2 linked regions of the Pelodiscus sinensis genome follow. The protein of the gene in region 1 purifies or fractionates together with the protein of each later gene. This does not show direct contact. Links are inferred from orthologs where the notes say so. Each region holds a gene or a part of one and is shown on either strand. Other genes may lie near its edges. The genes, in order: FLCN and FNIP2.

Evidence for each region.
Region 2: the proteins of FLCN (region 1) and FNIP2 purify together in Homo sapiens (affinity purification with western blotting; 5 studies listed by BioGRID and IntAct, with this or other methods). This does not show direct contact. The link is inferred for Pelodiscus sinensis from reciprocal best matches to the Homo sapiens genes FLCN and FNIP2.

The regions. Positions count from the first base shown.
Region 1 is NC_134726.1:33,890,214-33,894,125, forward strand, and holds the start of FLCN (folliculin), read left to right. Parts: upstream 1-1,672; coding exon 1,673-1,921; intron 1,922-3,314; coding exon 3,315-3,461; intron 3,462-3,912. UniProt on the Homo sapiens protein: Multi-functional protein, involved in both the cellular response to amino acid availability and in the regulation of glycolysis.
Region 2 is NC_134715.1:59,662,466-59,666,377, forward strand, and holds the start of FNIP2 (folliculin-interacting protein 2), read left to right. Parts: upstream 1-1,509; 5' UTR 1,510-1,947; coding exon 1,948-2,117; intron 2,118-3,912.

The sequences.
Region 1 (3,912 bases):
TGGCGGAATGTACCATCTCCCTGCTGCTGTAGGGGGGACGCTAGATAAAAGCCAGAGCTCGGCTGCTGCTCCCTCAGCGCATCCCCATCCTTGGCTGGCTCAGCCCCCATCTTCTCTCCGTCCTACCTGACGTGAAAAGACGCAGGGCCCTGGCTGCACAATTCCACCCCCTCCTGAAGAAATGGTTCAGTCCACTGCCAGTGAGTCGGGATAGCTTCGGACTGAGCCACTGACACGCGCGGGGGAGGAACGGGGGAAAGTGGAGGGGCTGCGCCTGGCCACATAGGAGCGGGAGGGAGACTGAGAAGTGATACAATCTGATCCCACTGTGTACTCTGCTTCCCTCCGGGTGGGGGCGCGGGGTGCAGGCCAGGTCGCTGGATCGCTCCCCCCCCCCCGAGGTGGTTTTGGTTCGGGCCGACAGTGTCAGGCGCCCTGAGGCACGGGACGGGCGGGGTCTTGGAGAAGCTGCCGGGTGAGTGACCAGCCCCCCCCCCCCCGGGGTCTCCGGGCCACTGCTGCGGGGTCGGCCAAGGCTCTGCTGGCGGGCGGGGGTCCCCGTGGGGGGGGATCAGGCAGGTCCCAGGTGGGGGGGTGTCCTGGGGGGGTCAGGCAGGTCCTAGGTGGGGGGTGTCCTGGGGGGGGGGCAGGCAGGTCCTAGGTGGGGGGTGTCCTGGGGGGGGGCCAGGCAGGTCCTAGGTGGGGGGTGTCCTGGGGGGGGGTCAGGCAGGTCCCAGGTGGGGGGTGTCCTGGGGGGGGTCAGGCAGGTCCTAGGTGGGGGGGTGTCCCTGGGGGGGGGTCAGGCAGGTCCCAGTGGGGGGGTGTCCCTGGGGGGGGTCAGGCAGGTCCTAGGTGGGGGGGGGGGTGTCCCGGGGGGGGTGTCAGGCAGGTCCCAGGTGGGGGGGGTGTCCCGTGGGGGAGGGTCAGGCAGGTCCCAGGTGGGGGGTGTGTCCCGTGGGGGAGGGTCAGGCAGGTCCCAGGTGGGGGGTGTGTCCCGTGGGGGAGGGTCAGGCAGGTCCCAGGTGGGGGGGGTGTCCCCGTGGGGGAGGGTCAGGCAGGTCCCAGGTGGGGGGGTGTGTCCCTGTGGGGGGGGGAAATCAGGCAGGTCCCAGTGGGGGGGGGGGTCAGGCAGGTCCTAGGTGAGGGGGTGTCTTTGGGGGGAATCAGGTTTTGGGGGGTGGGGTGTCCCTGTGTGGGGGATCAGGCAGGTCCCAGGTGGGGGGGTGTCCCCGTGGGGGAGGGTCAGGCAGGTCCTAGGTGGGAGGCGGGTGTCTCTGTGGGGGGTGCAGGAGTCCCCATGGGAGGTGTTGGGCCAGGTCTCTGCTGGGGAGGGCAGGTGATTCCATGGGATAGGTCAGGTCAGGCCCAAGCTGGAGGGAAGGAGGTTGGATCTCCCCTGCCCTGGGCCCAGGCCTGAAAATCCTGCCCTGCGCTTGCCCATTTGCACGGAGAGAAAGGGCACGCTGAGCGCTGGGCTTCGTACTCTGCGCGACCCCGGAGGAAATGAACTGACCCTAGAGCTCTGCAGAGCTGAACTTGATTCCCGGCTCCTCCTGAGTGGGAAGATCGCAGCTGGTGCCGTGGGGATGTGTTGATTTCTGTTCATTATACTGATGTGGGGTGCTTCCTCCCTCACCTGCAGGAGAGCCGAGGAGCGAGTGAAGCTACAGCTATGAACGCCATCGTCGCCCTCTGTCATTTCTGTGAGCTCCATGGCCCTCGCACCCTCTTCTGTACAGAGGTGCTGCATTCGCCGCTTCCGCAAGGCGCAGGGAATGGAGACAGCCCTGGGCAGAGCGAGCAAGCAGAAGATGAAGAAGGTGGCATTCAGATGAGCAGTAGGATCCGCTCACACAGCCCAGCAGAAGGTGCTAGTGCTGACTCCAGTAGCCCAGGGCCGAAGAAGTCAGATATGTGTGAGGTGTGTATATGAGCACCCTGTGTCCTTTGCTGAATGAATGGGCCATGGCTTCTCAATGAAGGGCGTGTTATTATTTGGGGCACGGAAAATGGCTTATACTTGCACGGAATCTCGAAACCCTAATAAACTATAGACTAGGGGGCTGTGCCCCCTGCTTGCATCTCTCTCCAAATCCCCTCTCGGCAGGGGAGGGCCCAGCCCAGCTGCCGGTGCCCCGGCTCTTTGTCACCCTGGCTCTTTGTCGCCCCTCCTATCCTGCCCCAGGCTCTTTGTCGCCTCTCCTACCCCAACCTGCCCTGGCCCTTTCTCCCCACCGCCACTAGACAGGGCCAGGCCATGGTGCACTAGCACCAGCTCTCCCCCAGCAGCTGGGGGGTCCGGGCCAAGGCGTGCGCAGAGGCTCGTGGCTTCCACCCCCCCATCCAGAGCACGGAAAGGAGGCTGGAGCGATGACCGCCCCAGCCTCACACTTACTTGGACCGCCATGGGGAAGTGCCTTCATAAACTCCACGTATGGGCCTGGAGGGGCTGCAGCCGATAGGGCTGCGGGCGAAGAGGCCGGTCAGTAGGGAAGCCTGCCATGAGAGCTGGTAGTGTGGCAAGAGGCTGTTTCCGGGGTGTGTTCTGGGTTGCAGTTGGGCGCGTGGCAACGCAGAGTGACGTGATGACTTCACTCTGTCATCCCACAGGAAAAAAATGTTTATCTATCTATCTATCTATCTATCTATCTATCTATCTATCTATCTAGAGAGAGAGAGAGAGAGAGAGAGAGAGAGAGAGAGAGAGAGAGAGAGAGAGAGAGAGAGAGAAATTGCTTTGCCATAGTGAACGCACAGCAACACTTACAGAAAAGTATAACGCAGGAAATGGAAACAAATTCTGTAGCCAGTTAAATGTATTTGCCCACGTTTTTGTGTGTGTCCATCCGTACCCCTTGGTGCTCTTCCACTTAACGTTAGTACCCTCTCTAATAATCCATTCCTAGTGTGCTTCGTGTCTCTCTAGTGGGGACAGATTTCAATATGTCAGTGGGTTCGCAGTTGCTTTACCACTAGCTGAATTTGGCCAGTTGCATAGCCCCTGTCAAATACAAAATCCAGTGAGGAAGTGAGTTGTGAAAGAGGCTGTAAGAGTGAAAGGATGGTTAGGAGGTGGGAGAATGGATCAAGTCCCTACTGCGCCGCAGACTTCCTGATCTAGAGTGAATCACTCTGCCTCTTGGTGCCTCAGTTCCCCGTTGTAAATACTTTCCTACCTCACTGGGTCTTGTGAGGATACTTATGCTGAAGATTGTTAGTCAGTCAGGTGCTGTGATAACGGGGCCTACATATAAGTATATTAAATAGTTGTCTCTTACTTTACTGTAAGATTTTTCTTTTCTTTCGGTGGCCAGGGTTGCCGCTCTCTTGCAGCAGGACACCCTGGATATGTCAGCCATGACAAAGAGACATTGATCAAATATGTCAGCCACCAGCACCCAAACCATCCGCAGCTGTTTAGCATTGTGCGTCAGGCTTGTGTCCGCAGCCTGAGTTGTGAGGTAAGTGATATGAAATTCAGCAAGAAAAATCTGTGCTGTTTCTAATCTAAAACTCAGCTTCACTGATATCGGCCTCCTCCACGGCTTGTAACTTGGAAGGGGTTGGAAATGGAATGCATGGCCAGAGGACCCTGGGTCTCAGTATTTGGCAGGAATTTTTTAAAGATGACTGCAAAGGACAAAAAATACCGGACTCTGCTCTTTGATGCATAAAGAAGGCATTTATATAAAATGTCCGTCTTTTCAGAGCGATGACGAGTTAATTTTGAACTTGCGTTATCTGATCACTTGGAATGCTATCTTGCGTGATTTAGCATACAAGGTAACTAATCTGTTCCACCTAGCTGTGCCTCTCTGAATACATTCCCAGACCTGCAGTAGAGCTATGTGTAGTCCAAAGGCGTGTCTCTCACCAACGTGTCCAGTAGATGAGATTACTTCACCCACCTTG
Region 2 (3,912 bases), on another chromosome or scaffold:
AGGGATGTTAAATTGCGTGTAATCTGCTAACCATGTAGCCGACAAATATTTTCTCGGTTACACAGTTAACCATTGCTGGTCTGCGTTGAAAGTAGCTTGAGAGCTCAAGCCAGGCTCTGGCAGCTGCTACTCACTGTAGCTCTGCAGGAAAAGTAATTTAAGACTCCTAAATCCAGATCAGTTTGGGGTCTGGAGAGGCAGCGGGAGCTCAAATAACACTTGGAGCGGCACTCTCCATAGAGAAACTGAGAAGACACCTCTTTCCCCCCCCCCCCCCCTTGAGAACAAAAGTCTGAGAGGGGTGAAGTGAGGGAGTAAGTGGGGACTCTGGAATAAGCTTGGTTCTTTCACTGCGAACTGACTAAGGAAGTCAGAGACAGAGCCTGAAGATGGAGTTCAGTACAGTTTGACTTGTGAATTGCTCTGGGTTGACCAGAATGGACTCTTCTTTAACTGTAGGTGCTGATCTTGCAAAGTGCTGAGGGTGCTTGATCCCTGGCTCTGCTGTAGGCCCCACCCCTCTTCTGCCCCCTCCCTTGAGCATGCTGCATCCTTGCTCCTCTTCCCTCCCTCCTCGCCTCCTGCCCGCTTGTGTGAAACAGCTGAATGTGGTGGGTGGGAAGCATGGGAACAGAGTGGGAGGTGTTGATCTATAGTGGGTGGGAGGTTCTGATGGGGGCTGCCAGTGAGATAATACCCAGCTTTCAGGTCTGTGGATGAAAAGGGTTTTATGAATGCTGAACTTGGGTTTTGTTTTTATTGTAGCCAGTACTACAAAATATTTCAGTGGAAATTGGTGATCTTGTATTGGGTGCTTGGGATTTTTATGTGGAATCCTTTTTTTTTTTTTTTTAAGCTGGAAGGGACAATTATTTAAAGGGATGAGGTTAGTTGATCTTGTAGAAAACAAGCTGTGTCCTCTTGGCCTGTACCCTTGAGGAGATTCGGTACTCATTTGCTGTAAAACAAAAGTCTGTGGTTTTTTTAAGTTCTTAATTGGTTTCTCCAATTTGGTGTTAGTAATTTAGTTGTACTAATTTATAACAACTCTGATTTGGTATTTATTTATTATTATGATTTATTTTATTTTGTTTTTAAGGGACACATTTTTAAGCAAGTGTAAAAGTGAAAAGTTACATCCTGCATATTCATAAGATATTACCTATCAATTGTATTGGGTGAACAGATTTGCCTTTTGTGGAAAAGCTTTTTTTTTTCTTTTTTAAAGCTGCATTTGATTCTTAGATGAATATAGACTGTTTACAGAGTAAAACCATTACTGTGCAAAAATTCTGGGGTGTTTGCTGGTGTTAATCATTCCTTACTGATAACTGTAGGGTATTGATGACAGATTTTTATTTGCATTTGAAGTATGGTACTGAGCCATAAGAGGTTGCTAAGAGTTGTCAGATGACACTTGCTCACATGAGAGCCATTAAGAGGGTGTTGCAGCCAGTGTTAGAACAACCTTGCAGCTAAGGGTGAGTCTGTGCAAAATCACCTATGCTCTTTCTTTCAGAGGCCATATGGTTTGGTCTTGTGACCAAATAAATAATTGCCAGCTACATAATCACATACCAGGAAACAAAGGTAGTTCAAATCAATATTAGCTGCTGTATCTGCTGACCGCTTTGCACTGGGTGGAAAAACTCCAGCAACAGAAGCAGGAGATAAACTTGGATGGGCTTTAAAATTTCAGAGTTCTTTGTGGTGGTCTTATTTGGGATAAATATACTATATTACATTGGATGCAGCTGTCTCCCAGAATTACTGATGGAACATGCTACTCTTGTTCTAAAAATGAAACCCGTGGATGGCTTAAAAGACTTGGTTAAATTTCTTCTCCGTGAGGAAATGTCTGTGGTTGCTGGACGCTGAGCCCTACAGCCTATCTCTTACGTTCAGTATTTTCAAGAACCTTTGGGAAAGTACATCTACGCTAAAAAGATGTGTGGAGGTACTCCAAAAACTGCACACAGCACAGGCGGGCAAACAGACTTAGCAAGAAAAAGTAATGATGCCTCTTGCCCACTGGGAAATAATATCTCAAACACAGGATTAGATAAAAAGGCTAAAAAATCTTTGGTAGCAGAACAGAGCACCGACCGTAACAGCAGGTAAGTTGAGATTTGTTAAAATTTTAGTTAATTTTGGGAAGTGTTTCAGTTTGCTTTATTTTGAAAAGTTACAACATGATGTTTCATTGCAGTAATTACTAAACCAGCTGTTGGTCTAGTTCCAAGTATTGTTTTCTTCTGCTACTGTACAACAAAATTATGTGTCTCGCCCTCCAACCTGGATTTAATAATCATATTGAGTATAACTGAAATGCGTTCAGAAAACATCACTAGACCAACAGCTCGTTCAATATTTGCTGCACTGAAACATCAGCTTGTTCCTTTTCCAACTAAAGCAAACTGAAATACTTCTCAAATCTAAACAAATGGGTTGCTCAGTTGGAGTGTGCACATAGATTTCAGAATACTTTTGGCTATTATGAATGTAAACTAGCTTTGTTGAGATCAGAGTTCTGTTAATCTCTGCAAAGAACTGATGATCTGAAAACAGTATGCTGGGTAAAGCCTCTGGGTATCTGCAACTTTCCGGTTATCATTTGGATTGCAGTAAGGGGTGAATTTTTCAATTTTTAATGTGTAATTACTATTAAAACAAATATGCATAATTTAATTGGCATCTCAAATTTATCTTTAGCTACACTTCACCTATCTTTTAAATTTTCTAAAGCGACTATCAGTGCATTCGTAGTTAACTTTTAAAAAAAACAAACCCTGTCCTTTATAGCAGTGCACACATGGAAAATAATATAGTAATTAAGTGCTATGTCAAAAAATCAAATAGGGATTTTAAAAAAATCAAACATAATTTTCCCCTAAGCAAAAGAGGTCATCTTATCTCCAAGTGAATCCTCTCTTATGTACAGAAGAAGACATTTGAGTAAGTCTAAGAAAGCAGCTTTGGAAGAGTGAAGGATTTTTTTTAACCTAATTCTGACAAGAAACCTGATGAGTCAACTTTTAATCATGCATTTCTTTAAAAAAAAAAATTCTTAATATGTCCTTTACTAACATGTTACCACAAATACATTTTGAAGAGTGCTAGTCACATTAATTGTAGAAGTGCTATATGAAAACTACGAATATAGAATTTCTTTGCTAAAACTTTTAATTATACTAGCATCTCTTCCATAAACTGGGGTTATGTGCTTCTACTTAGCACTTTCAATTTTTAATCTGCCTAAAGCTTACCCTAGTGCACTGTATATCAGAGCTCCACATTTTTGTTTGGTTCCAACTGTCTTAAAGTTAACTCTATTGGAACTTAGCCTTTCAATATTAAGCAGGTGTCCAAAAGTAGTCCTCATACTTGGTGGACCTTGTATGATGTCTGTGTTCCCATTAGCAGCTAGGTAACTGTAAACAGCTGACCAGCTATTATTAAAAAGAACAATTAAAACAGAACACAAACCAAAACCAAAAAGTAAATAGCTATTTTCCAACTGAGCACACAGATTTATCTACTGAAGCATATCCACGATTGTATTACATGTTGAAGAGGAACTGAAAACATACTTTAGAATTGATTAAGCATCACTGTTTTCTAAACACTTCTGTAAATGAGGTTGAAATGGACTAATAGAACTTTTTTTAGTGTGTTGCAAGTAGAAAATTAGGATTTACCCTTAGGTAACAGAGCTTCAGGAAAAACGGTGTAAATTCTCAATTAATATTCTTCCTCAACAATTTAGAAATCTGTGATGCAAGAGTGGGTGGGTTTTTCTCTTCCACCAAACTCTTAAACAAAGTAGATTTGCTTTAAACATAATTTGCCAGAGCAGACGTTTGCTATTCGGATGGGCTAATCATACGCCAGTCTTGCAATGCCAAATGTCAT